Linked DNA regions of Cricetulus griseus. The protein of the gene in region 6 interacts with the protein of the main gene of each other region in a pairwise test. Links are inferred from orthologs where the notes say so. Each region holds a gene or a part of one and is shown on either strand. Other genes may lie near its edges.

The links.
Region 1: the proteins of Thap1 (region 6) and bystin interact in binary tests that used the Homo sapiens proteins (3 or more experiments, as listed by UniProt). The two-hybrid records come from large-scale screens. The link is inferred for Cricetulus griseus from reciprocal best matches to the Homo sapiens genes THAP1 and BYSL.
Region 2: the proteins of Thap1 (region 6) and Ap2b1 interact in binary tests that used the Homo sapiens proteins (3 or more experiments, as listed by UniProt). The two-hybrid records come from large-scale screens. The link is inferred for Cricetulus griseus from reciprocal best matches to the Homo sapiens genes THAP1 and AP2B1.
Region 3: the proteins of Thap1 (region 6) and Gpatch2l interact in binary tests that used the Homo sapiens proteins (3 or more experiments, as listed by UniProt). The two-hybrid records come from large-scale screens. The link is inferred for Cricetulus griseus from reciprocal best matches to the Homo sapiens genes THAP1 and GPATCH2L.
Region 4: the proteins of Thap1 (region 6) and Trim26 interact in binary tests that used the Homo sapiens proteins (3 or more experiments, as listed by UniProt). The two-hybrid records come from large-scale screens. The link is inferred for Cricetulus griseus from reciprocal best matches to the Homo sapiens genes THAP1 and TRIM26.
Region 5: the proteins of Thap1 (region 6) and Fam133a interact in binary tests that used the Homo sapiens proteins (3 or more experiments, as listed by UniProt). The two-hybrid records come from large-scale screens. The link is inferred for Cricetulus griseus from reciprocal best matches to the Homo sapiens genes THAP1 and FAM133A.
Region 7: the proteins of Thap1 (region 6) and Zcchc10 interact in binary tests that used the Homo sapiens proteins (3 or more experiments, as listed by UniProt). The two-hybrid records come from large-scale screens. The link is inferred for Cricetulus griseus from reciprocal best matches to the Homo sapiens genes THAP1 and ZCCHC10.

What each region holds. Positions count from the first base shown.
Region 1 is NW_023276806.1:255,587,631-255,591,381, reverse strand, and holds the end of bystin, read right to left. Parts: intron 3,615-3,751; coding exon 3,476-3,614; intron 3,210-3,475; coding exon 3,076-3,209; intron 1,850-3,075; coding exon 1,689-1,849; intron 1,561-1,688; coding exon 1,458-1,560; intron 966-1,457; coding exon 620-965; 3' UTR 293-619; downstream 1-292. UniProt on the Homo sapiens protein: Required for processing of 20S pre-rRNA precursor and biogenesis of 40S ribosomal subunits. May be required for trophinin-dependent regulation of cell adhesion during implantation of human embryos.
Region 2 is NC_048600.1:96,571,616-96,575,366, forward strand, and holds part of Ap2b1 (AP-2 complex subunit beta), read left to right. Parts: intron 1-661; coding exon 662-782; intron 783-902; coding exon 903-998; intron 999-3,751. UniProt on the Homo sapiens protein: Component of the adaptor protein complex 2 (AP-2). Adaptor protein complexes function in protein transport via transport vesicles in different membrane traffic pathways.
Region 3 is NC_048598.1:117,540,945-117,544,695, forward strand, and holds part of Gpatch2l (G patch domain-containing protein 2-like), read right to left. Parts: intron 3,095-3,751; coding exon 3,027-3,094; intron 1,640-3,026; coding exon 1,600-1,639; intron 1-1,599.
Region 4 is NW_023276806.1:228,909,964-228,914,496, reverse strand, and holds the start of Trim26 (tripartite motif-containing protein 26), read left to right. Parts: upstream 1-1,606; 5' UTR 1,607-1,764; intron 1,765-1,994; 5' UTR 1,995-2,070; intron 2,071-4,290; exon of another isoform or gene 4,291-4,533.
Region 5 is NC_048604.1:52,767,112-52,771,339, forward strand, and holds the start of Fam133a (protein FAM133A), read right to left. Parts: upstream 2,972-4,228; 5' UTR 2,853-2,971; intron 2,654-2,852; exon of another isoform or gene 2,562-2,653; intron 2,317-2,561; exon of another isoform or gene 2,180-2,316; intron 2,154-2,179; exon of another isoform or gene 2,027-2,153; intron 1,768-2,026; 5' UTR 1,717-1,767; intron 109-1,716; exon of another isoform or gene 1-108. Other genes in the region: Nap1l3 (nucleosome assembly protein 1-like 3), read left to right, coding at 3,258-4,228.
Region 6 is NW_023276807.1:57,657,669-57,661,920, forward strand, and holds the start of Thap1 (THAP domain-containing protein 1), read right to left. Parts: upstream 2,823-4,252; 5' UTR 2,756-2,822; coding exon 2,685-2,755; intron 2,506-2,684; exon of another isoform or gene 2,109-2,505; coding exon of another isoform or gene 2,104-2,108; intron 722-2,103; coding exon 526-721; intron 1-525. UniProt on the Homo sapiens protein: DNA-binding transcription regulator that regulates endothelial cell proliferation and G1/S cell-cycle progression.
Region 7 is NC_048600.1:67,476,706-67,480,966, reverse strand, and holds the start of Zcchc10 (zinc finger CCHC domain-containing protein 10), read right to left. Parts: upstream 2,943-4,261; 5' UTR 2,827-2,942; coding exon 2,786-2,826; intron 62-2,785; coding exon 1-61.

The DNA.
Region 1 (3,751 bases), on a different chromosome or scaffold from region 6:
CGACTACGACCTTTCCAGCAGAACACCAGCAGAAGCTGGTGTTCCCCCAAAATAGCCCATGAACATGTCTTTGGTAGGGAGTGTGTGTATTGCCTGCATGCGTGCAATACACACACTCTCTTTGTGGAGAGGAAGGGGAGTCTAGATAGACCGTTGTGAGGAACAGGGTGAGGGTTCTATGGACACTAAGAAGCCACTCCTCTGAACTGGGAACAGAAAGAACCATGAATGACTCTCACCTCTAGCCACAGGGGAGGCAGGAACCTCCAGGGACTGAACCAAAACACAGAGCTTCAATAAATAACCAACTCTGTTTTATCCACACCCCAGTGAACTGACACAGTAACTGGAGAGAGCAGCCCTAATACCAAGTACCGGCTGGGTTGAGGGAGTGCTGACATCAGGTAACTCCAGTTAGCTTCCAGAAGTGAACAGGGACCAAAGCCTAGAATGGCAGAGAAAGCCAACCAGATCAATCCTCCTGCCCAGGACTAGAGCCACACACAGATGCTGTCGTAAGCCTTCGGTGCCTTAACCTAGGTCTTTAACTAGATCGTTGGTCACCAACTGGGCTCCTGGTGTCCTCCTATCCTCCCTGGACCAAGACAGGTGAGCGCTGTCATTCCATGGTGACAGGAACATCTTCTACATCTCTGGGGACTGCACTCTGGAGCTCACGTCTGATTTCCGGAGACAACTGTGGGTGGGGCTGCAGTCGAAGCAGTTCCAGGAGGGCCTCCTTCTGGTCCGTGGCCAAGTCGGCCTTGTAGCGTTGTGCCAATGTCAGGAGGCACTGGTGCCAGAGCACAGGCAGCTGGCGCTTCTCCGTCCGGAAGCCCAGAAAATGGAAGACCAGGGCGTCTAGCACCCGGTATGGCAACGCATACTTCTTATCTAACAGCAGGCGCAGGAAAATGCTGTTAGCGCCACTGTATTCCATCTCGGCAATCTTCAGCATGGCCGCACTAGGAGGGAAGCTGGAGTTAAGGACTAGTGGAGAGATTCTGGACAAAGTGTCTCCCCAGACTCACCCTAACCTAGAGCATTCCCAAGGTGTCCCCGCATCTCCTCATTAGTACACTCCTGGGATTGATTCTCTTTACCGCCTGTCTACATCCATCTCACACTTCTGCCTCTGGCCGGGATAGCAAACAATCCCTGCATTCAACTCGATAGGGTGTGTCTAAATGTCTCACCACTCCACCATTTTTCACACCTTTTTCTAGGTATCCATTCATTCATGCCGTCATTCAACAACTATTTACTGAACACCTACTGTGTGCCAGGTCTTTGGATCCTGCCCTCGAAGGCTTCTATTCTACTGGAGGAAATCATATACCTGCTGGTTTAAATAGCCACAGACTCTAGGTAATCATAGCTCATTCTCCCTTCTTGCCCTCCTGCCAAAGTTCTGGCCTCTCTACTACATGACTCTCCACCGACCTCACCAACACTACCTGGAGTGCAACACAGGGATGGAGCACTTGGTGATGATGCTGCCCACGATGATGGCTTCTCGGAGGGTACATGTGCCAGACTCGCACAATGGGATCAGGATTCCTAGGCAGAGTCATATACAGGGACTTTTAGTACCCAGCAACCCCATCATCTAAGGACCAACAGTGGAGATAGCCAGTTGCCAAGCAGAGTACTGACCCTTCCTTTCTCTCCTAATTCTGGGTTTTTACCTTTGAACCAGGCTCCAGGTTTGAAGAGGGCTTTCTTGAGTGCCATGTAGAGGTGAAAGTTGAGTCGTTTGTACTCTGCGATGTCATCTCGTACTCGGGGAAGCAGGACAAGGTTGTAGAAGCGCTGAGCCATCCGTTCTCTCAGATTAGAGGCAAAAATCCTAGCAAGGTGGGAGTTTGCAAGTCACAAGAGTCTGGCCCTGGCCTTTTAAGTATCACCATGCATGAGAGAGGTTTTAGAGTAAGATATGGGGACATCACTTCAGAGAGGGGTATGTGAAGTGGTATGTGAAAGGTTCAGGCATTATGCTGGCCTGCCTCTGTCACCTGGCAGAATCCACTCAGGCAGTACCCTGGTAAGCCCAGGGTTCCATGGGAACTAAGTCTGCACGCAGGTGGTATAGAGGAACCCTTTAAAAGACAGACCCTGCCCACTTACACTCTCTTCTCTTCTCTTCTGCTCTCTCTGCCTCTCTATGGCAACCGGTCATGGCGGTCAGCCATTAACCCCGTTCCTCTTCTTTCTTAGTCTCTACTCTACCGGGCTTATAATAAACTGGGTAATACATCTTAGTCTCATGTCTCATCTTGTGCCTCTTCTTCATTTCTAATTTAAACAAAAGAATAACAGTATGCACACCACACCCAGGTCAGCTTAAAGAGGAGCTACTTTGCCTGCAAGTAGGTCTGTGCACCATATATGTTCCTGGTACCCATCGGATTTCCTAGAGCTAGAGATGGTTGAAAGCCTCCACGTGGGTGCTGGGAATTGAACCCAGGTCTTCTAGAAGAACAAGTGCTCTTAACCACTGAGCCACCTCTCCAGACCTAGCATTTTTCTTTTGTTGGTTTTTCGAGATAGGGTTTCTCTGTGTGTAGTCCTGACTCTACTGGAACTCACTGTGCAGAGCAGGCTGGCCTAGAACTCACAGAAATCCACCTGCCTCTGCCTCCTGAGTACTGGGATTCAAAGTGTGCACCACCATTGCCTGGCCCCTAGTGTATTTCAGACAGTGCTGTTGCTTAGCCCCATGGCCTTTTGTGCATTATTTAAGCGAGGCACCTCGAGCTTCTTTCCCAGTCCAGTTTTTGGCTGGCTACTCTCCTTTCTCCACCATGAGGGACCTGAGGTCACCGGAGAATTCTCAGAATTCTCGAGCTACTCTTCTCTCACACCAGGGCTGTATCCTGGAAGCTATGTAGGCCCTTCCCATGGAAGTCTACCACAGGACTTTGTCCTGAAAACACAGGAGGAGAAGTTAAGGGAGTAGTAGGAACAAGTCCAAGGGAGAGAGCCATGGGCTGGCCAATGACATGGCTGAGGGAGGCAGAGTCTACTCACCACACCCTGCACCACAGATCAGCCGCCCTAGACCATCTACACTACCTGGTGGCTTGATACATAGCAGCTGCAGTCCAGGCCTCAGGCTCAGTGACATAGAGGATTTGCTCCCAGTTGGACAGTGCAGGGATGATCTTAAAAGCCTTGGGCAGTTTCCCACTTCGGTACTTGGATAACACCTGGAGATGGAGGAGGCAGAGCCATCAGCACCCACGGTTGAGGTCCTGGCCCCGTCCCTGCGTTTTCATGCGCGGCCTCACTTATCTTCAGAGCAACCCAAAAAGGCTCATTTCTCAGGTGACCAGAATTTAGTGACTAGACCCTGAGCCCACTGGTTCTGCCTCAGTCCTTTTCTGTCCTGGCCACCATGGCTCACTCGTCGGGTGCCATGTGTGAGAGGCTTCCTGTTAGGATACCCCACCACACATGCCCTCACAGTCCTTACCTCCCGGACTCCTCTGTAGACCTCCAGGACCCGGGGGTCCAGTTGAGGCATAGGGAAGCCCGACACCTCTGACATGACCGTCTCCACCTCTGTCTGCTTCTCTGTCAGCTTCTCCATGATGATGTCAGCCAGTGTGCGCCTATGGAGACAGAGGGGACAAGGGTGAAGAACTAGGGTCACTCTCCAGGAAGCTCTAAAGTCCCCTCACCCTGTTCATGAAAGGAAGGAAGGACAGACAGAAGACAGCCAGCCAGCCATAGTGGCACGAGCCTTTAA
Region 2 (3,751 bases), on a different chromosome or scaffold from region 6:
GTGTGGAAGTGAAAATGTTGTATAGTAGCACAACTTGTTCAGAAATAGCAACTTATAGTTATTACCATTCTTTCAGTAGTTGAATATATGTATCTGGTGTTGCAGTTCAGGGTGGTTTCGTTTTTATTTTTATTTTTGAAACAGGCTCTTTGTATATCAGGCTGGCCTCGAACTTACAGCGGTTCACCTGCCTCTGCCTCCCAAATGCTGGGAGTAAAGGAGGGTGCCAGGCGTGTGTGCCACCACTCCCATCCATGTTGCTTCTTTTGGACATGCTACCCATGGAAGAGTTTAGTTGAAAACCAGGTTGTTCTTCCTTAGCAATTCTCTGGGGTAACACATACCCCTTTTCCTTTGAGAGGACACAAATCAGTTGTCAGAAGGAACTGATGGAGAACAGATGGGCTGGGAGTGTAGCTTTGTGGGAGAATACTTGCCTAGCATGTGCCGGGCACAGAGCTTGATTGTGTGCAAGCAAACATGTTATATAGTAGCACTGCTACTATGTGGGGGCTGAGGGAGGGGTAGGCAAAATAGATGCTTATACAGGACCCTTGGGAGGGTTTTCTCCCCCCTGAAATGGGCAGGCAGAAAGGCTGAGTGGGATATGTCAGTAACTGCTTTCTGTCATCTTTCTTTCTTGTGTTTTTGTGTATCACAGGCCTGAGATCCTGAAGCAGGAAATCAAAGTCTTCTTTGTAAAGTACAATGACCCTATCTATGTTAAACTGGAGAAGCTGGACATCATGATCCGTCTTGCATCCCAAGCCAACATCGCTCAGGTCCGACCCTCAGCCATCCCAAATTTATACCGGCTTAGCACTTAAGAGCTGGCATTCAGAAGGCATGAAATTGCTGTTTGAGACTTTTTAAAGATTATCCACTTCTTGGTTATTTGACAGGTCCTGGCAGAGTTGAAGGAATACGCCACCGAGGTTGACGTGGACTTTGTTCGCAAAGCTGTGAGGGCCATTGGACGGTGTGCCATCAAAGTGGAGGTAAGTCTCCAGAGGAGCTGAGATCACAGTATGGGATTCTGATTGCTCATTACTTTAGAATATGTTTTGGAGTTCATCAAAATAATACATATATTTAATGAACTAAATAATTTAATGTTTATGGGTGTTTTGTCTGCATTATGTCTGTGTACCCCCTGTAAGCTAAGTACCTCTGTAAGCCAGAAGAAGGTGTCGGACCCCCTGGAACTAGAGTTACAGACTGTTGGTCATGAGCCAACATGTGGGTGCTGGGAATCTAATCCAGGTTTTCTGGAAGAGTAGCCATTTTTGCTCTTAACCCTGAGTCTTCTCTGCCCCAGATTAAAGAATTTTTAATGAAAAGCCACTGTCCCTGGCTGTCCCCCTTCTCTACCTAGACCCACTTCCCCAAAAGTATCACTTTTTACTCTTCTTTAAATCTTTTTCTATGTCCATATTTATAAATAATTTTATTATTTATTGATTTGTTAGTTACAGATTTTTGTCTTCTCAACACATCTCACTCCTCCACCAAGCATTTTGGGGGGCTTGTTTGTTTTACTTTTTCAGACAGGGTCTTACTGTTAGCCCAGGCTAGCCCCAAACTCACATCCCCTCTCCCGCAATCTCCCAAATGTAGGATTCCAGACATGAACCACTATGCCTGGTTTTAGTTTTGTGTTCTTTCGGTAATATGTGTTCTTAGGTGTTGTATTTTGTTTTGGTTTTTAACTTATTTTGATACTACCTATTTGTTTTTATTATTTTATTTTATTTGTTTTGGTTTTTTGAGACATGGTTTCTCTGTATTGCTTTGGAGCCTGTCCTGGAACTCACTCTGTAGATCAGGCTGGGTTTGAACTCACAGAGATCTGCCTGCCTCTGCCTCCCAAGTGCTGGGATTAAAGGCGTGTGTCACCAATGCCTGGCTCCTATTTATTTTTACATTTATATATTTATTATTTGAGGGGACAGTATGTGCCAGGGTATATATATGGAAGTCAGAGGACTTACAGGAGTTGGTTCCTTCTTTCTGCCATAAGGCTTCTGGGGATCAAACTCAGGTCAGCAGTGCCTTTATCCATCTTGCTGGCCCTAATACCACATATTGATTGCTTATTAGACTTACAGACTTTCCCAGAGACTGGACTGTATCTTAATGGTTCTACTCATACCTCCATCCCCTTTAGATGACTAAATCTGGAGGCTTGGTGATATTCATGAGTTTTAGGTGATTTTATCCTTTTAGTGACCTGTGATAGTACATTGTGATAAATCATAGATTTACCTTGGATTTGGGTATTTTACTTACAATCCTGTCCTTAAAAAATTTTTATGGAAGTATAAATAAATTGATCAGTTTGGAGCCGGGCATTGGTGGCGCACGCCTTTAATCCCAGCACTCGGGAGGCAGAGGCAGGTGGGTCTCTGTGAGTTCGAGACAAGCCTGGTCTACAACAGCTAGTTCCAGGACAGCCTCCAAAGTCACAGAGAAACCCTGTCTCGAAAAACAAAAAACAAAAAAACAAAACAACAACAACAAAAAATTGATCAGTTTGTATTTCATCTTCAACTAGTAAAAGAGTAATAGGTTAAACTCTAGGATATTTTGAGCCATAGATAACTGAAAAGAAAATGAAAGCTATGGACCTTATATTTGTAAAATATTTTGAAAGTCCATATAAAATTTGGTGATTCCTTTTAGGAGGTTTAAAAACAGGAGGTCAGAGAGATGGCACAGTGGTTAAGAGTGTTTGCTGATCTGTCATGAGAGCCAGAGTTCAGATTCCATGACCCACCTCAGGCAGCTCACAGGCTCCTGTAACTCCAGCTTCCAGGGCTCTTCATGAGCACCTAGCATGTGTGCTCAGGCCTGGGGGACAGGGGGCGATCCTGCCCTGTTGCTGCCATCTAAGGTAGCTTTATAACTAAAGGTAGCTTTAACTAAATCTCTATGGTTCTAATAAAACTCAAAGGCTAAGGGTGAAAACCTGTGAGCTCAGAGAGTTAGAGTAGCAACTGCTAACTTTCTCTTTGCTGGTGTCCCCAGAAGCCTCCCTTCTTCCACACCACTTGCACTAAAAAAAACCCACGCCGTGCTCCTCCCTGTTACTTCCAGTAAACTTGTTGCTAACCTCACCTCCCTGAGCCCAGGTTAATTTTATTTAATTAATGTATCTTTACATAGTTAAACAAATACAGCATTAACAGATGTAATACATCTTTGCCTGGCTAAACAAATATTCCACAACACACAAACACACGGGGGTGTGGGGGGTGGGGAAGTGGGGAGGGGCTAAAGAAAGACCACGGAAGAAATCTTTTTAAAAATACCAACAACACCCCATGCAATCTCTGTTCACCTAAGGACCTCCCACTTAGATGTATTTTTTAATTGCCTTTCTCTCTTCATACCCTGGCTAATTTTTTTCTTATTTCTGTTCTTCGAATTATCCAGGTTAATGTTTACTCATTTAACTTAATTATCTGGGAGACAGAGATACAGCTCAGTGGTAGAGCTCTTGACTAGCTTGTGTGAGGCCCTTAGTTTGCTCTAAGCAACACACACAAAACCAAATCCAGAACATTTTTCAATTTGTTTTCTAATGAATAAAAGCTGGTATATTCCTAGGCTTTCTAATGTTGATATACAACAGATGATCTAGCCTCTAGTATAGCTTTAGCAAATTCAGTGCTTGTTAATTTAGTGAATGCTGTATGTTTCCTTTTTTTTTCCTTTTCGTGTTGAGATAGTGTTATTGGATAGATCATCT
Region 3 (3,751 bases), on a different chromosome or scaffold from region 6:
TGCTTTTCAGGTCCTAAAGTGATTTCAGTTTCTCACTTATTGACCCTAAAAGGTGACTAAGATGGTGAGAGGGCAGTGCATCCTAGAACCAAACAGGAACTGAGGATCAAACGGGGTAGTGTGTACAAAGCACCTCACTTTATGGTTGCTAGCCTTCTTTGTACTTTCCCACAATAAACAGTCCTTTGAAAAATGGTTAACTTTATGAATTAAGACTGAAAGAACTTGAGTGGTAACTTCAAACGTACTTAAAAGAACAGAAACTTAGCTAATACACATAGCTCAGCAACTTCAGGAAAATAGTTAAAACCCATGATGCGTTGTTCCTCACTTGTACATAGCAGAAGTAGCGCAAAAGATGGCCATAAATCCTGCCTTTGCATGCTCTGAAGCAAATACAATCCACACTCTAGCTTAACAGTTCCCAAATCTCTCGCATGCGACCTTCATGACCCTTTCTTTATCTGCCAACTATATGAACTGTTCATCCAGAATTTTCTTTACACCAATTACTTACACTCAGTTTTGTCCTATTTCCACCAGGTAAGTCTGACATAGTAATTACATTTTTCTAACATACATTATAATATATAACTTCAAATACGTAATCTAAAATCATCTCATAAACACACACTGGTTTTATCTTCCACTGTTCTAATTATTGTGAAACAGCAACTTCCCAGTGAACTTTGCAAATATAAACTGTGTAACATAATAAAATGCTAAGTAGTCCCCAAAATAAACAACCAGTCAACCATGGAGCAAAAGGAAGCCTGAGAAGGTTTGCCCATCAGTCTCTATGAACTTCACAGCTCAGAACTAAGGTTAGGCAACCCTTACCTCTAAACTGAAAGAATTTCAAACATCTATAAACCTAACAACAACCACTGTGAGTTACTTTTAAATCATGGATCCTCCTCAAAGCCAAAATGTATTAAGGCATCCCTAAAGGGGAGTCAAGGAAAAGATTAAGAGAAAAAAGCTCCAAAGTCTTGATCATTTCCCCAAAAGGAGCTCAGCCTTCTGCCTCCTATGCTCAGACAGTCACAGCACAGGATTCGAATGGCAAACTAACCCAGAGACATGAGACTCACTTTACATTTTTAATCAATTGAAACAATAAGACAATGGGTTCAATGGTTAAGAGCAAATACTGCTCTTCCAGACGACTCAAGTTCAGTTCTCATCAGCATGTCAGGCAGCTCCCAAATGTCTGTATCCCCAGCTCCAGCACATATGATACCCTATGGCCTCTGCAGGCATCTGAGCTCACATGCACCTATGTACATGGACACATAAGTAAAAATAAACCTTAGGGGGGAAAAGCTAAAATAAAACCAGGCTTCCCTTGAAATGTGTTACAAATAAGAAGCTGACAACTGCAGCTGAACCTAAGGAGGGAATTGGCTACAGTTCTTTCAGATGAGCACAGAGCAGTCTTGGAACTCAGCTCTCAAAAAAGTCAAGAGTGATGGAGAGTGATCTTAGTCACCTCATGTGCACAAGCAAAAATGTGAGGAAAATCAGAAGCCAATGTTTTATTCTTTCTAAAGAAAAGGAAACTGAATGATAAAAGATGACCCCCCAAAATTATCTTACCTGCTTTCGTTCTCTTTTCCCAGCTGATGGTAAGCAGAAACTGAAGAGAGAATAACAGGAAAGAAAACAATAAAAGAAGTGATAGGAAAAGTAAGAGGGAAGACGATCACAGGTGGGATACTGAGTGAAGACAAAGAAGGAACTGGGAGCGATGCAGCTGAAGGAGAAGGACGCCAGCTGTGTGTGAACAACAGTCTCCCTGAAGTAACTGCAGTGGAGAAGGCAAAAGTGGAAAGCAGAAAACTAGACAAGGAAGAGCCAACTAAGACACAGCCTTATCTCAGCTGTGCATCGAGAAAAGGACTCAAACTCCAAAATCAGACTAGGTTTATGTATAGGACTGCTCTTGGGTACTGACCATAATGATTAAGGAATAAACTATACAATTTCTTTAGCATATACAAATGTGGGCTGCTTTTTTTTTTTTAACATACATAGTTGATATGTATGCATGTATGTGTGTGAATGGAGGAATGTAAGGTCACAGGTACACACGTGTGTGGAGGTCAGAGGTCATTGTGATGTCTTCCAAGCTCACTCTCCACTTCATTTATTGAGGCAAGGTCTCTCACTGAACCTAGAGCTCCCTGCTGGTCAGCTTGCCCTGGGATCTACTTGTCAAGGGCTGATATTACAGGCAGGCCTACCATACCACCTGCTTCTTTATGTGGGTGCTGGGGATCCAAACTCTAATCCTTATGCTTGATCCACTGAACCATCTCCCTAGTCCCAATATATATGTATTTATTCAGCAGATATTCAAATTTTAGCCATGGAAGACCCATAAGAAGACAAAGCACACAGCAAAGCCAACTGTTTAGGAAATGAAGCTGTTATGAGAAAGGCAGCTCCATTCATGATTCCTACTGCATTCACCATGGTAACAGGGACAAAAAGATTTCTCCTTAAAGAGGCCTGAAGGAGAACAGAAGCATTTGGAACAACCATTTTAAAAAAATTAAGAGAGAAAAATGCATTTAAAATATAGTCTCTTAGTGGTGGATATTAATATAACACCTAGAAACATAACAGGCAACAACAACAACAAAAAACTACTCTAGAAAGAAAAAGAAAAATCACTGTCATGATTTAAGACTTTAGCCATCTTAAAATTTTACTTTTTTATTATTGTGTATGTCATAGCATACTTGTGAGGGTCAGAGGACAACTCTATGGAGTTGGTTCTTTCCTTCTGGCTCTGGGATTAAACTCTGGTCATCAAACATGCAACAACAGGTGGCAAGCACTTTTAGCCATGAGCCATCTTGCCAGCCTGATTTTACCCATCTTAACTGTTAGCAAGCACCAATCTCTAAAATGCCCTCTTTCGGTTCTCAAGTCTAATAGAAAGATTGCTTTATAGAAACCCTCTCTACCTCCTTCTCCAAGGACCAGGCTAGGACAGCAGTAGGCACTTAGGTACTTACTCTTTCTGCCGGGGGTCACTGATGATATGGCTTATCCTCTCGGTTCCTAGACTGCTTATGCTGGTTTCCTAAAAAGATAAGAAAAAGAGTGTCATCAAACCACAGAAGCAAATATATACAATTTAAGCTGTTACCAAGCTAAATTTTTCTCTAACCATACCAAGCAATCTTAAGGTTGTATCAATCTTAAAATCCAACAGCAACTATTTTTTTTTTAATAGGAGTACATCTTAGAAGTATCATCTATTACCTAGCTATTCTCTGCTGACTTAAAAGGCTTTTAAAAAGCCGTTATAAATACTGTTTGTTGGGCTTGGGATATTTTTCTATTCTAAATTTAGTTTTGTATAAGTGTGTGTGCGCAGGTACACGTGTGTGGGCACTCATAAGTGTGTGCATGAGTAGAAGCCAGAAGACTATCTCAGGTGTCATTCTTCAGGCACTGTCCACATTTTTTGAGACAGAGTCTCTCCTGGCCTGAGCTTAGCTATCTTCCTCCTCCCCAGCGCTGGAATTACAAGCATGCCATTGCACCCGAGGTGTTTCTCCCATATTGTTCTGGGGAACAATCTCAAGTCCTCCACAAGCACTTTGCCAACTTGAGCAATAAACTCCAGCTCTGTTTATTTTTTAATTGACACATAAGTGAAATATAAAACTAATACCAAATACTGTTTCTTTTTCTTTTTAAAGATTTTATTTATTTATTATGTATACAACATTCT
Region 4 (4,533 bases), on a different chromosome or scaffold from region 6:
CAGCCCAGCCCCCTGGGCTGGAGATTTCCGGTAGCGGGTGGGGGGGTGCCAGCCATACCCTGTAACAGGCAGGGACTGAAGGATGCTGGGAGAACCTGGCGGTCAGGTCTGCTTTGATATGTTAAATAAACCTCAAACATGTGTGCCAAGGTTTGAGCTTAACACATTGCAAACGTCGTTTCTTCGTACAACACCAATTTAAAAAAAATAAAAAGGCCAGGTGGCGGTGGTGCACGCCTTCAATCCTAGAGGCAGATGGATCTCCGAGTTCGAGGGCAGCCTGGTCTACGAGGGAGTTCCAGGACAAGCCAGAGCTACACAGTAAGACCCTGTCTCGAAAAACCCCAAACAAACAAAAACCCCACCAACTAAAAGAGCAGGTAGCAGCCAGGCGGTGGTAGCGCACACCTTTAGTCCCAGCACTCGGGAGGCAGAGGCAGGCGGATCTCTGTGAGTTCGAGACCAGCCTGGTCTACAGAGTGAGTTCTAGGACAGGCTCCAAAGCCACAGAGGAACCCTGTCTCGAAAAACCCAAAAAGGAAAAATAAAAAAAATAAAAAAATAAAAAAAGAGCAGGTAGCAAGTGATTTTAGGGTGTCCGGAGCAAGGCAGCCAGAGCCGCGCCCCACCCCCTCCAGGAGCGCACAGGAAACCTGAAACCTTCTTTCCCAACATCTTGCCCGCAGCGCGGGGAGGGGCGGGACGTTAAGGCTCAGGGCTCGGAGGAGGCCGTTTGCAGCTGAGACCACCTCTTTAGAAGCGAGGACCGGATGGGGGAACCCGGAGAGCCTTCGCTGCTTCTCGGGGCTGCTCGCCCATTTCCGGCGCAGCGGAAAGCCCTGCGCTGCTTGGGCCTGCAGCCCAGTAGGCGCGGCCGTGGAGCTGCAGGCTCGCCCGGCTCCTGCGGAGGGCCTAAGAACCGATTTTGCCGACTCTGTAGTTTGTCTCCTCTTTAGACAAATTCAAACTAGGTTGGTTTTGAACTTTCCTGCCTCCGTTCCCTAGTGCCGGGATCTTTCAACGTTTTGCGTTTATTTTAGTGTAGGGGGTAGGGTTGCACGCATTCCAGCGCACACATGTTGAAGTCAGAGGACAGCTTGGACGAGCCTGGTCTGGCGTTCCACCTTGTGGGGGTTATGGGATTCGAACTCCAGTCATCTGGCTCGGTGGCAAGCGCTTATCACTGTGTGTACATGCACGGCTATTTTCCGCAGCATCCTAGCTGGGAGCTTTGCAAATGGCAATTTCTGTAAATGGATCCTGGAAATACTAAATAGACTCATGTCTGGTCTTGTCCTGAGCAGACCATGCGGAGGAAACCCCATCGGAAACCCAGCCCCTGCAGACACCTCCGACCACACACCCCTAGGCCCAGGGAGTCAGAAACGGGGTCCCGAAAGTCGGGGAGCTCCTACACGCTAAACCACTAGGCCTCGCGCGACCTCAGCCGCTGGGCGACTACCGTGACGCACCGGCCACTTCCGATTTCACTTTCCTTTTCTCGGGCCCGGCCGCTTCACCTCCACGGCGGCGGCCTGGGGATTTGCCCGGTGATCAGTGACGTCAGGCAGACTGAAGTTCCCATTGGAGGGCGGAGTTCGGCATGGACCAATCCCAGGGCCGGCCCCGGAGAAATCTCGGCGGAGGGCACTGCGCGCCGGGAGACTGCTGGGCGGGGAGGCTTCGCTGCCAGCTTGCTGGCCCGGGCGCTGCACCCTGAGCAGCTTGACGGGGAGGAGTGACCGGGCCCCGAGAGTGGCGCGGGTGAGTGCGGCCTGCCGTGGTAGGACACCGTGGCTCCGCCGCGCGGCCCGGGTGGGGACGGCGAAGGTGGCCGTGGGCCCAAGGCAACGCTGCTGGACAGGCCCTGGCGCGCGGGGATGGCGAGCTCGGGTACCCGCCGCGTCCCCGGCTCGCTTGTGGGCCTGTCGCCCTGAGCTCGCTGTGCTCATGGCTCCTCAGGTCCAGCCCAGACTTACTCCAGTCTCTTCCAGTCCCCAGATCCAGAAGTGAGCGGGACCCGGATGAAGTCCTACCTGCTGGCTTGGAGTCCTGCATGACCAAAGGCAGGTCTCCACCTATTTATTTTATTATTTATTATCTATATCTATCTATCTATCTATCTATCTATCTATCTATCTATCTATCTGTCATCTGTCTATGGATTATTTACTATGTCAGAGTTAAACTAGCTTAGCCACTTGTACCTGGAGCTGTGTATTATTCCCTGATGATTTACTAACTAATTTGCTTTAGGGGGAAAAAAAAAGGTGTGTAAACAGTATGGTGATGGTATGCGCCTTTAATCCAGCACTGGTGAGGCCGAGGCAGAGGAAGATGGATCTCTGAGTTCAAGGCCAGCCTGGTCGACAGAGTGAGTTCCAGGATAGCCAGGCTACAAAGAGAAACCCTGTCTCGAGACCAAAAAACAAAAAGAAAGAAAGAAAAAAGAAAAAAAGAAAGAAAAGAAAAAGAATAAAAAGGTGTATGAATTTAACTTTGTGGAGTGAATGGGAGGAGACACTTAAAAATTTCTAGTACATTCCAGAGTTTGACAATGCAACCATTTGTGTATGCCTCAAAAAAAAGGGAAGAATGACATGTGTTCATGCATGCCTGAACCTCTTGTTTGTTAGATGAAGTCATGTCCCTAGAGTATTCCTCCTAAGTTCAAAACAAAACAAAACAAAACACCTTTTCTAAAAGCAAGCCTTCATTAATGTTTTTTTAAATTGCAACTTATTTATTAATTATTATTATCACTATTATCATTATTATTAAGACAGGGTTTTACCATGTATCCAAAGATGGTCTGAAAGTGGCCATGATCACCCATGTTAGCCTTCTTCCTCTTGAACATTTGGTTTAAAAGTTACAGGTGTCTGCTACAATGCCTGGTTACCATTTTTAATACACTTTAATTTTTAGAACAGTTGTAGATTCACAGAAACATTGAGAAAACAATCTGTAGAGTCCCTATGTAACCTCAAACCAACTCCTCTTTCATTAACATCTTACACATGATTATCGGCCAGAGTCCACATATGTTTATTTTCAATTCCTTTTTACGAAAATACCCTTCCATGTTCTCATCTGGGTTACTGCATTGCATTTGGTTGGCTGTGACAGTTTTTAGACTTTGTGTGAACTTTCAAAGTTTTGAGAGATACTGTGTAATGGATACCTCAGATAATTAATTAAAGAGAAGGGGTTTATTTTGGCTAACAGCTTTGGAGATTCCAGTCCACAATCCTGTGGTGCTTGTTGGTCTGGGCCTGGTCTCGAATTGAGCTCATATTCATACCTCTGCTTCCTGAGGACTGAGAATACAATCATGGGCTACCATGCCTGCTCATTATACACAGAGAGAGAGAGAGAGGAGAGAAGGGGGGAGGAGACCAGAGTCCCACAGTCCTCTTCTGTGATGCTCTCTTCAGTGCCCTAGATTTTCCAGTAGTACCAGTGCAAGGAACAAGCCTTTCTCTTGTGGACCTTTGAGGCATACTACGATGTAAACTGTACGTGTGTTTGTGTGGTACCCTCCTATTTTATGTCTTATTCTTAAGATTGGGTTTATGTATTAAAGGGATGGGGTTAGGTTGCCATACCCACAGCACCTTAGCAAGGATTCCATGTTGTCAAGATTTACGATGACACTGACCTGCCCACCTGGCTGAGTGTGTGTTGGTTCTCTGCACTGTGTTTTCCTTCCTTTGCACATTGAATCATTTGGCAGGAAGTCACTCTGCTCATCTAAAGAATTAGAGGGTTATGGATTTTAAATTATTCAGTATGGGAAATGTGTCCCCTTCGTTAATGCATTCACCCATTTGATTATATCAATGTAGACTTGTAGGTATTGATTTTAGACATTGGATTATAGTCCAGTAGCAGTTTGTTGTTCAAATTGGTGCAGCTTTGACTATTGGAAGCTGATTGCCTCTGTGTCCTTCCTCTTTTAATGGTACTTTTGGGGCATTCAGACATTTTTTTTATGTCACCTTTTAAACTTGAAACAAGCTGGTAAGCTTGACCAAATAATTTCTGTTGTTGTAGTTTTTTTCTTGCTGGATTCTGAAGCTGTCTCAGCCTCAAATAAGCACACAGATGCTATATTAATGATAAAACTGTTGGTAGATGGCTAGGGCTTCTTATTGGCTAGCTCTGTCTTAATTATTAGCCCATATCTATAAATCTATGTATTTCCACGTGGTCTTGGCTTACCAGAGAACGCCTGGTGCATCCTGTCTTCCTGGTCTCTACATGGCGTGTCTTTGTACACTCTCTCTGCCTTTCCTAGAATTCTCCTCATCTCCTAGCCTGCCTTTCATCCTGCCTCTACTGGTCAAACAGTGTTTTATTCATCAACCAGTAAAAGAAACATATATACAGAAGGACATCCCCCTTCAAATTTCCTCTCATCAAGAGACAAGGAAACCGGGTGCTGACGTGGCTCATAGCCATCTAACACCCTCCTCTGAACCCTGCAGGCACTGACAAAACACTTGTACACACAAAAGCAGTCTAAAAACT
Region 5 (4,228 bases), on a different chromosome or scaffold from region 6:
CTTTAATCCTAGCACTCGGGAGGCAGAGGCAGGGGATCTCTGTGAGTTTGAGGCCAGCCTGGTCTTCAAAGACAGTTTCAGGACAGTATCCAAAACCTACAGTGAAACCTGTCTCAAAAAAAAAAAAAAATAAAAGAAGAGTCTCTTAATATTGAAGCAAATCTGGGATACACAGAAAGTATGGAGGCAACCCTGGGACTCATAGTGTGACTGTCTCTAAAAACATCAACAAAAATTAGCTCCATTCCCTTATTTGCAGGAAAATCTGTGTTCAATAAATCAAAAAACAAACAAACAAACCAGAATGTAGAAATAGATCCAATCAATTCTGCTTACATGGTAAATAAGGGGATTCAGTGGGTACAGATGGAGAGATTACAAACTAAATGTTTCACAAAGAAATAGGTAGCTACTAAAATAACAATTTAAAATCTCTATGGTTATAGGTATAGCTCAGTGATAAAGCTCCCTTACATGTGTGATTCCTTGATTCCACACCCACTTCAAGAAAGTAAACAAGCAAATCTAGAACTTAACTCAAAACTGATTCAAAAATAGTAATCTCTGATGATACAGAAGTTAACATGTAAATTACACTATTAAATTACTATAAAATATAAGTATCACTAAAATATTTCTATTACTGTAGCTATAGATAAGTGGCATTGCAGTATTTATCATGCAGCCCATTGCATGTGTTTTGATTAAAATTACAAAACAATAAGGCAAAGGTAAGCATGTTCTACTTAGCATTATATTGTCATCCATCACTAATGTGCCTGTCACATAAAAGACACAGGCATTATTGGTTGAATGTTGGAATAGATGGACTTTTCTACATTTTAAATTATAAGAACCTTCATGGACATTTGTAATAGGTACAGAATTACAAAATACCATAAGGCTTAGTTCATGCTCTAATTTCTAGGAAAATATCCTATGTTTTGAAGTGCATTAGTAGGCCAGTTATAGTATATATGTATATGTAAATGTATGTATATCTTCCCATAGCAAGACTCTGGTTAAATATGCCAAGGCAATTATTATAACAGAATAGAGAACTATTTAAAAAAGGAATTGATTATTTCCCATGAAAACAACCATAAATCAGTAAATTATAAACCATCATATGATGTCACACAGATAAAACAGAAGCAGATGTATACAAGCATAAGGAAACTTCTGGAAGGAAATGCATCCAAATGTAAAAACTAGTTATCATTTGGTTGTCAAAATTAAACATTGACTATCATCATAATCTTTTATATTGAAGTTAATCTTTAAAATGTACACAAAATTTAATATTTACACATAAATACAAATTCATTTTCAAAATCACAATGCATTTCTTAACTTAAAACTGTATGACTGAATAAAAAGCACAAACTCTATAATAAAATCAAGTACTATACAAAGGCTAGTCTCCTTTTAATACATTTCTTCATTTGAAATTAATAATGGAGTATATTTTATATTTTAACATAGCACTAATAGTCTATGACCAAGTTTAGACAGTGAATGTGGTAAAGTGGGTTATTTTCTCATTTGTATGCCAAGTCACCTCTATGGATTTTTCTGCTTGTCTGCAAATATCACGATATTTTCCAATCAAATCTTTAACAGATTATAGCCTGTGAATTTTTATTTAAGTACAGATGAGCAATTCTGGTCATTCATAAAAAAAGGGGGGGGGACGGCTAGTAAGTATGTCCTTACCTTTCAATGAAAAGTAAACACTGGTCTTTTTGGTTGTAGCAGAACTGAATCCTGTAAATAAAAATAGCAAATATCTGTTTTTAAACTTCATTTAGCTAAAGTTTGTTTACATATTACTGGGCTTATAAATCAGCATTTAATATGGATACAATTTCAAATTAAAAGGAAATTGGTGGCAGATGACATCTTAAACACTTACGGATGCTGCACTTGCCTTAGAACAAATCCCCCCTCCCATCCCGCTGTTAGTGGAATTGAAACCTGCTGCATGAAAGTGCGAAACAAATCCTCTGCTTTAAAAAAATATTACCTTACATTTGAAAACCGCTTCGTTTTGTCTAAAATTTTGCTACAAGCATTGAAAAGGACTACGTGGCAAATTAGCAATAAGATTAGAGTACATTACATTATATGCCAAATTTAAAACAGAAATACGACTGAAAAAATGGTGTAACTGACTCACGGCAACATGGGTTCGCAAACCTTGTAGATGGCTATAAACCAGGCTTGCCAAACATCACAGACAGGACTTATTAAATCTGCTACGTGGAATGCAATATGCCTGCTGTCTAGCCCCTCCCCCCTTTGCCAATAAACGACTCCCCCTTTTCCAGTGTGAAAATACATGCTCATGGAATATTTAGAGAAAATCATGTTTGTTTGAGTGCCCCCCCCTTCAATCATCCAGTCACACTATCCAATGACGCCACTCAGAGCGTTTTCACCCCCCACCCCCGGTTAACAGTTTGTGGTGTGGAATTCAGCCAAATGGGGGATTCAGGATGGGCAGCTGAGCTAAAGGGATCCTCTGTTCCATTGCTAGGAACTATAGCTGGCGTTTTTACCTCATGGCTACGCATTTTTTTTTCTCTCCCTGTGAATTAAAAAACCACATAAGGAGAGAATTTTGGGAGGGGGAGGGAACCTGTCTTTCGGGGGATGGAGGGGGGGTTGGTGCCTCAGCCACCAAGGAGCATCTGGGAAGGGAGGAGGAGCCAAGAGGGGGAGCCGCTACTTCCGACCGTTCCTTGGCTGGAACGCCCGTCAATCGGGGCTGGCCAGCAAATGAGGCGTGAACTAGAGGCACTCTGGGAACGAAATTGACGCGAGGGGCGTCATCAAGGGGAGGGGCTCACCATCCTCAGCCAGACCCCAATCGCCGATCAGAGTCCCGAACTGCGCCATTCGACTGCGGCACGGCTCGGCCTCTGCCTGTCTAGGCCGAGACAAGGCCCCCGACCAGGCCTGGTCGCCTAGGCCCCGGCCTGTTTCCGCTGCCGCGGCTTCCTGCGCGCCCTCCCTGGCCCCGCCCCTGCCGCACCTCCGCCGCAGTAGCCACTGCAGTCCCTGCTGCTGACAGTCCCTGCCGCCACCGCCGCCGCCACCACCGACCACCACCGCCGCCACCGCCGCCGCCGCCTGTGCAGCCCGGGCCTTCGCAGCCGCCTTCAGAGCATCCGTGAGTCATTTGCTGCCGGTCCCCGGGGGCGCGATCTCTGTTGTCACCACTTGCAGAAAAGAGGTGTGCGGGGGCTTGCGGCATGGCAGACGCCGATCCTAAAATGGTCACAGAACCTGCCGCCCAAGGGGTTGCTGAAGAGGTCATGGCTAGCTCAGCTAGTGATTCCGGGGAAGAATCTGACAGCAATAGCTCTAGCAGCACCTCTAGTCGCAGCAGCAGCAGCAGCAGCAGCAGCAGCAGCAGCAGCAGTAGCAGCAGCAGCAGCAGCAGCAGTAGCAGCAGCAGCAGCAGTAGCAGTGGCAGCAGCAGCGGTGGCAGTCGAGTGTACCGAAGGAAGAGGGTGCCTCAGCCTGTCAGAAGGGGCCCGCGGCATCCCGCCGGGAGGTTTTTCCTGGATAAGCTACCGCAGGCAGTGAGAAATCGGGTGCAGGCACTCAGAAATATTCAGGATGAGTGCGACAAGGTGGACACCTTGTTCTTAAGGGCAATTCATGACCTTGAAAGGAAATATGCGGAGCTGAATAAGCCTCTCTATGATAAGCGTTTTCAGATCATAAATGCAGAATATGAGCCTACGGAGGAAGAATGTGAATGGAACTCGGAGGAGGAGTTCAGCGGTGATGAGGAAATGCAGAATGACACACCTGATGAAATGCCGCCCTTAGAGGGTGAGGAGGAAGAAGAAGCCCGTAAAGAAGAGGCTGGAGTAAAGGAAGAAGGAAAGAATGTTCCAAATGAAGTTCCTGACGCAAAACTTGAAGGTGAAGCTCCCAAAGAAAGTCCTGAGGTGAAAACTGAAGAAAAAGAAATTCCAAAAGAGGTTCCTGAAGAAAAAGTTGAAGCAAAGGAAGCCTCTGCAGAAATTCCTGAGGTGAAGGTTGAAGCAAAGGAAGCCTCTGAAGAAATTCCTGAGGTGAAGGTTGAAGCAAAGGAAGCCTCTGAAGAAATTCCTGAGGTGAAGATGGAGGCACAGGAAGCCTCTGAAGAAATTCCTGAGCCAAAGATGGAAGCAAAGGAAGCCTCTGAAGAAATTCCTGAGGCAAAGATGGA
Region 6 (4,252 bases):
GTGTGTGTGTGTGTGTGTGTGTGTGTTTGCTGTGGGGTGGAGGTGGAGCTGCAAGAAGAGGCCAGAGACATGTGATCCCCTGGAGCTGGAGTTCCAGAAATTGTGAGCCACTTGATGTGGGTGCTGGGAATTAAACTAGGGTCCTCTAGAAGAGTAAGACACACTCTTGACCACTGAGTCCCAATAGTGGTTGTTGTAAAATGATATGTTTCAAATACATGTGTTTTCTTAACCCTTTCCTGATTTTTCCAAAATTTCCACCATGAACACATTAGTTTCATAGATTTTATGGTTATTAGTGTACAGCCCAAAATCAGTGCTCAAGATCCTAGAATTTGGAAGGCAGAGGAAGGAAGATGGGGAGTTCCAATTCCGACCCAGCTGTATAAAGCTCAAGCAGCCTGGACTAGGTAAGCCCCTACCTCACACAAGGGACGTGAGGGGAGGAGAATGGAGAGGAGAAAAGAAAACGAGGATAAGAAAGGGAAAGAAAAACAATAACCCAATATTTAAAACCCGAAGTACCTTGTCATGTGGCTCAATACAAAGAAATATTGTGGGTACAGCATTCTCCTTCAGTAATTTGTTGTTGCACTCTCTCTTAAAGCAGTCTGGGGTAAAGTGCTCTGAACAAATACTGCTGTATTTAGTAGGCTTGAAGTTTTTTCTTCTAACAGCTGCCTCCCACTGTTTACAAAGACCGGGGCGAGTCAGAGGAAACCTAAGAAGACAAAATTCAGTTCTCTGACTTTACTAAGAAAAAAAAAATAAACAAAACCACCCAGCCAAGAGAATCTGACTGAAAACTGGATCCTGTTACTATCTCACTGATTAATGCTCATCTTTTCATAACGAAGACACTGACAATGCAAGTAAAACAGACAGTGTGCAATGCAATTCTACTCACATTTTTACTAGCACTTTTGTGTTTTGCAGTAAAACACAAATCCTACATATGGCTGTATCCTGAGATAGACTTCTAGCTCTTCCTGAATCAGCCCAATAAATATAAATAGACTAAATCCTGACTGCCTGAATTATAGGCAAATGATTAAGAAATAAAGGACATCTTTTATTTTATCACTTAACCCAGCCTAGGTAATGAGGACCCTTTACATCTATTGTCACTATGCTTTTCCATGTCAAAGACTTGGTGGTACACTGGAACTGGAAAAAGACCAAGAATGTTCAATTTATGCTTCATAATTATTCCACCCCATAAGGTGCACCAGACCCGATCATGCTTTTTTTTTTTTTTTTTTTTTTTTTTTTCATGAAGACCTAAGCAATCTTCATGCTAGTGCTTATTCTTTGCACAGCAAGCTTTCTGCACTACCAGTAGATACAAGCTGGAAAACGACGTATTTCTAGAAAGAAGTACATACCAGTGGGGAGTTGTTAGAAATCTTAGTATCTAGTCTCCCAGCCTAGGAGCCCAAATTCTTCGAGGTCTGTCAAGATTTTTGCCATTTATTGTTCTTTTAAATAATGGATAAGATTCGTGTTAGTCCTTTTATTTTTCAACATCCAGCAGCTGAAATAGTATTTTTGATGTGTGTCATCTTAAACTTATTTTAACATTCCCCCACTTGCCACCCTAATTTAAGCATAGGGAAGGGTGGTGGCAAGTTGAATGTATATCCCCCCACTATTTCCTGATCTATTTATTCCTACAGGATGAAGATGTATGAAATTTCAGAAATTCCAATCAATCAAGTAGTAGTATTAGGAAATATTCTATCCTCTTCCCAGACAGAAAACATCAGCACACTTATCTCACTTTCTACCAAACATTCTTTTGTTACAAACCAAAACAAACAAAACCCTGAAAGAACATTTTGAAATTTGCTTCTGTAATTGTTTTGCTATGGATAACTTGTATAATTTACCAGTGAATCTGATCTCTTAGCTATCGTTTGCATACAGCCAGGAATTCTTTCAAAAACCTAATGTAAAATATAATAATGAATTTGGCTGCTTAAAAACATCACATTTTGTGGACCATTATCACTGTTAATAATTATCATTAGTAACGTTAATTCTGCAGTTTTCTTCTTTCAAGAAAGTATTTTTCACCCCAGGATTCTTGTTTGTGGTACCTACCACATGAGCCAGCCAAGACATCGATGGCAAGGGCTGGAATTAGATCCTTTGCTACTGAATAAAGCGTGTTATCGTCCACGTTGCTATTACTGTGTGATGAAAGGCTGGGGTTCATCTTGGCAGTACCAAGAACTTCCTCTGAAACCCAAAGACCCTTAAAGGTTGGTTCCTTGAAACTGGGTCTACAAGTCCTCCCTGACATGCCGGCCGGTTGTGTTATCCCTTCTCCCAACTACAGCAAGGTCGGAAAACTGTCTAACTCCTAAGTGTTTCTCTATCACGTTGATGATCCCTTGGGACGAGATTGTGAGGGCTGCGAGGGACCTGTAGGCGTCACTCGCACGCCGGAAACCCAGCAGAGCAGAGAAGGCGCGCTCGGAGCCTCAGCAGAGCCGAGCCGAGCCGAGCGGAGCCCACGGGGGCGACGCGCAGCCACGGGTCCCCGCCCCCGGCCCCGGCCCCCCGCCTTCCCAGGTCTCGCGCGGACACGCGCCGGGCTCCGCCTCCACCCGGCCGCGGGCCCCTCGCCCCGGCCAGTCGGCCGGCCGGCCGGCCCACCGCCGAGCATGCCGGTTACCTACTTGTGGAAAGAGACAGGCTTGTCCTTATCGTATCGGTTCTTGCAGCCGTAGGCGGAACAGGACTGCACCATCCTTCCGGCCCTCCACACTTCCCCTCTGCCCGGGAGGCAGGTGAAGGGGGGGAGGTCTCAGTGTCGCTGCGCTCGGGCGGCTTTGACACGCTCGCTGCTTTCGGTGGCTTTGGTCAGCAGTTACACAGTGGCGATTACCTCACTGTGGGGGTGACAACTCTGTCCGTTGTGTTGTTTGCTTTAGCAGAAAGACCACAGCTTTCGCCCGTCTCCCATCTTCAAGATGGCGGAGGCAGCTTCAACCTCACCTCTCGCGAGGAGTTCGCTCGTTGTCTCTGATTAGCCGAAGGTAACGTTCCCAAGGAAGCCGACCATTGGCTGAGGCCAGGCGAGGCTCTGGGGCGTGGTCACCAGTGCGGAAGTGGGTGGGTCCGCCGCGCTTGGGCCGGAAGAAAGGGCGTTTGTTTGGGAGCCACACTCGAGAAGTCCGGGCTGTAGTGGTCGTTGTGGTTAATTTGCCCGTCGCTTTCTGCTGCAGCTTGGTAAACATGGCCTGTTGGATTCGGAAGCCTAAAGGAAACGTGGGAAAGCTCTAGTTCCTAGTAACACGTAATTTTTTTTTTAAAAAGGGGGGGGCGGCTTCGGAGGTGTAATTTGCACAAACCCAGATTCCAGGTGGTCGTCTTCTGATGGAGAACAAGGACAAACGTGCATTCCTTCTCAGAGGCAGAAGCACTTAAGAATGTTGTTACCGTCGTGCCGTGTCCGGCGCTGTGCTGAAAATTGCGAGCTGCTGTAATGAGATGGCTCAGAGGTTAAGAGCATTGGCTGCTTTTCCAGAGGTCCTGAGTTCAAATTCCCAGCAACCACATGGTGGTTCACAGCCATCTATAATGAGAACCGGTGCTCTCTTCTGGCATGTAGTCATACATGCAGACAGAACATTATATACATAACAAATAAATCCTTTAAGAAAAAAAGATGACATTCTAACCGGATGATCTGGAACTTGTCATATAGATCAGGCTAGCCTTGAATTCAAAAATGATCCACCAGTGCCTCCCAGTTAAAGACCTGCACCATCACATCCAGGTCCCATCATTCTGAAAAGGTTGGTGAAAATAAAACAAATGTCCATCAACAGTTCAATGAATAAATGTGGCATAGTCCACAATCAGTAGCAATCAAAATAATGAAGCTATAGGCTGGCCATGTAGCTCAGTTGGTAGTGCTAACCTTATGTTTCAGAAATGGGTAAATGAAACTATAGTCAGGAGTGGTTATTTCAGAGGAAAGATGCAATTAACAGGGTGGTGGCCAGTTTGTAACTCATTGATGGTGCTGTATGGCTAGCTACTAATAGGCCTGATAAAACGAGCTGGACACTCCCCTTAATAACAAAAAGACTGGACCTGCAAGATCAATTACTGGCCAGAAGAATGGGACTCAAGTCTTGTCTCTAGCCCTGAGAGCTGGTATGACATGCTGGTCTGCCTGTAGGTTAGTAATGTCATTAAGTCAACCTGGCTCCAGGAGCCTTAAATCTTAATGACTGTA
Region 7 (4,261 bases), on a different chromosome or scaffold from region 6:
ATAAGTCCAATGTCCAAATTCCAAGCATTTCTGACATCTTACATGTTGCTTATTGGCTTCACTACAAAGAATAAACAGAATATAAGTCTTAGAAGTTTTGTCTTCTCTGGGCGTTGGTGGCACATGCCTTTAATCCCAGTACTCGGGAGGCAGAGGCAAGTGGATCTCTGTGAGTTCAAGATCAGCCTGGTCTAAAGAGCTAGTTCCAGGACAGCCTCCAAAGCCACAGCAAAATCCTGTCTTAAAAAACAAACAAACAAAAAACAATAACAAAAAAGTAGCTTTGTCTTGTAATACTTTCTGACCTATAAAGGCATATAGTGATGTTTACTCTAACAGACACAGAAATAGTTATGTGGATCAATGCATGCAACCTGGGATTAACAGAACAAATCTTGGCTTCTTTAAGCCCAGTGTGGTGTTTCATGCTTGTAATCCTTCACTTTTCAGGCTAAAGCAGGAGAATGGCTGTAGCCTGAGCTACAGATCGAGAGATCCTGTCTCAAAGCAAAACAAACACATAAAAACAAATATTGTTTTTGCTTTCCAGTAATGATGCACTCAGAGCAACATTTTTAGTTCAGAATGCAAAGGATAATTACAGACTTTTATTTTACTTTATTCTTTGTAGTGCTAGATAGATATTAAACTCAGGGCCTCCTACATGCACACGGAGCAAATACTACCACCAAGGTAGACCACTAACCCATTAAAACACTTTTAAGGATGGGAGATGGCTGGGTGGGTAAGGGTGCTTCCTATATGCCTGAAGATCTGAGTTGGATCCCTGGATCTGTATGGTGGAAGGAGCAGAGAACTGACCCCAACAAGTTCCTCTGGCCTCAATTCCTATACACACACACTTAAACCGCCCCCCACCCCCAACACACAGAACAGGGTTTCTTTTCTTTTTTTCTTTTTTTTGTTTTTCGAGACAGGGTTTCTCTGTGTAGCTTTGCAGCCTATCCTGGCACTCACTCTGGAGACCAGGCTGGCCTCGAACTCACAGAGATCCGCCTGCGTCTGCCTCCCAAGTGCTGTGATTAAAGGGGTGCTCCACCAACGCCCGGTCACACAATAGGGTTTCTATATGTTAATAGCCCCAGTTGTCTTGAAACTCTGTAGACCAGGCTAGCCTTAAACTCAGAGATCCACTTGTTTCTGCCTTCTGAGTGCTAGGAATAAAGGCATGATCTAACACATCTGGCCCAATACTCAGGTTTATGACTAATAAATCACAGCTTACATCAAAAGCAAGAAAGTTAAAAGCAAGCAGGTAATAGATCCATAAACAGTATTTTCCTTTCAGTTTCACATAACTTTAAATCCAACATGCCACTATCACATGGCCATACAGAGGGTGAACATAACATTGCTGGGAGGTTTTGTTTTAAGATGAGGTCTTGCCAAGTTTGGTGGCACATGCCTTTAATCTCAGTACTCAGGAGACAGAAACAGGTAGATTTCTGAGTTCCAAGCCAGCCTGCTCTACAAAAGTGAATTCCAGGATAGCTAGGGTTGTTACAAAGAAACCCTGTGTCGAAAAACAAGACAAAACAAAACAAGCCATCTTGTCACTTAAGTAGCCTAAGTCTGGATCCAAAAGAACCAGTTTAAGAGAGAAAAGGGGTGAAATGAGATCCTAGTAACTTAATTTAGCACTGTTAAAATTAAGGTTTTTTAAATTTTATTTGTTTATTGAGCCATGGTCTCAGTATGCAGCTCTGAATGTCCTGGAACTAGATATGTAGATCAGGCTAACCTTGGGCTAAGTGCTGGGATTAAAGTCCTGGGCTATGGCCAGGGATGGTGGCTCAAACCTTTAATCCCAGCGCGTGGGAGGCAGAGGCAGGTGGATCTCGGAGTTAGAGTACAGCCTGGCCACAAAGCAAATTTCAGAACAGACAGGGCTATGTGAAAAGACCCTGTCTCGAAACACCAATCAAAAATAAAGAATGGGAGCAAAAGAAATTAAAGGAAGCGTTCGCCTGTTATAGGCCATCAAGTTTCCTAAACAAAATTCTTACCAGATTGAGAGAGATTAAATAAAGGTGTAAATTTATTAATTCTTAAACAGCTAGCTAGCTTTGACAGAAAAAAAAAGTTCTCACCGCCTCAAAGCAATTATACCATTGTCTAGCGTTTCTTTTCCCAAGCCCTCTGGTGACTCGGTCTTTCCTACGCCTTTCAGCCTGTCTTGAAATGTCACCCCTCCACTAATGTATTTCCAGTCCAACTAATTTGAAGAAGCCTTTCCCGTATTCCCATCACAGCCTCTTATTTCCTACAAAGATTTTTAAAACTACCAACTGTACTTGTTCAGAGGATTAACTGGTTCCACATTTAGACTATAAGCTGCGTGTCCCGAACATTTTTCTTCACTGAAAAAAAAAAAGGCATGGAGTGGTAGGTACTAAAAGAACTATTTACTGAAGGAGAGAGTCGCAGAAAGTGAGTCGGTAGATGGGAAAAGAGTAAAGGCATTGTAGACAGGCTTGTTTCTAGGAAAGGCGGTAGGAAGGAGACCGGAAATGCTGCAAAGGAATAAGTGGGAGAAGTTTGGGTCCTCGGGAGTGAAGGTGTGGGAATCAGGCATCCAGGCTACCTTGACAAACGTGTGAGACGGACAGAGGATCATAAACCACACAACCAACAACCCTTGGATTCATTTCGGACTCTCCGAGCCCGCTCAGTCCCGCAGCCCGCGCCAGCTCACTAACTAGCGGACTGGCGTCTCCACACCCACAGCCCTCTCGCAGACCCCACTGGGCGTCGTCTCACTTACGCTTGTCTCCGAGCTATCAGCCGATGCATGGGAGTCGCCATCTTGGAGCTGCCGAGCCTGCCGCACAGGCTTTTGGGAAACTCCGAAGGATGGGGCGGGGCCTTCAAACCTCCACGGCCGTGGGCGGAGCCAGACCGGTTTATCCCAACAGAGGTGATTGGTGGCCCCCCGCTGGTGTGTTATGTCAAATGTGGGCCTTGTGTTTAGTATGAATATGATTAGGACCTTGAAGGGTGAAATTAGCGTTCAGAAAACCTGTAATCCCAGCGTTCTCGAGACCGAGGGAAGAGGGTTGCTATGTGTTCAAGGCCAATCTTGAAAACAGTTAAGACCCTGATTCAAAACAAAATTCCGGCTTGGCTGACCACTCTTTTAATTTCAGCACTCAGAAGGCAAAGTCAGGCTGGTCTCAGTGAGTTGTAAAATGTTGAGGCTAGCTTATATACGAACCTATCTCAGAAAAAAAAAAAATTAAAGCAGGGCAGTAGTGGCTCACACCTTTAATCCCAGTACTCCAGAGGCAGAAGCAGGCAGATCTCGCGTTCAAGGCCAGCCTGGTGTACAGAGTGAGTTTCAGGACAGCCAGGGCTATTACACAAAGAAATCCTATCTCAAAATATCCCCCAGTGCTGGGATTAAAGGCGTGTGCCACCAACGCCGGGCTAGGCACAGGGTTTATATAGGGCTTCTTAGGGGCAGAGTTTTTCCAGGGTGGAGATTGGTCAGATTTCAATGCCTGGGTTTATAATGGGTAGATCTCCTGCTCAGGGATTGGTTAGTTTTCTCGAAGGTTTAGGGTCAGATTTGCCTCTGGTTTCAGGGCCAAAGTGTGTTTCTTTCACTGGTCCTTTTTAGCCTTTGGGCTCCAATTTTAGGGCCAGAGTATATTTCTTTCACTGGTTCTGATTCCAGGGACAAAGTGTGTTTCTTTGGCACTGGTTTCAGGGTCAGGGTACATTTCTTTGGTTCTGGTTGCAGGGCCAAAGTGTATTTCTTTGGCTCTGCTCAGGATGTGTTTGTTTGGCTGGGCCTTTTTCCTTACAAAAACAAACAAAATTATGCCCTGGTGGCACAAGCCTTTAATCCTAGCACTTGGGCAGAGGATAGCAGATCTCTAGGAGTTCAATGTCAGCTCAGGCTATAGAATTAAAGGGCCAGGGAAAGAACATGGTTTTTAAATGGCTATTTTGGCCTTTTTTTTTTTACAACTCTAATAGTGGTCTTATTCTCGAATGGTGGGATTAACAACACAAAGATAGAGAATAATAAATAATGCAAGGGAGCTTGTCTGCAGAAATAGAGAAGGAAGCTGATATGCTGAAGAAACAAAAAGGAATAGACCTTCCTACACTTGGCTATCTTGTCTTTTGATTCTTTTTTTTTTTTTATTTTCCTGCAAATTGCATGAGGCTTTATTGTTGTTTAACGAGCTAACCCCATGTTAGCTCGGGTCTTTCACCCACCTGCCATGGCGGA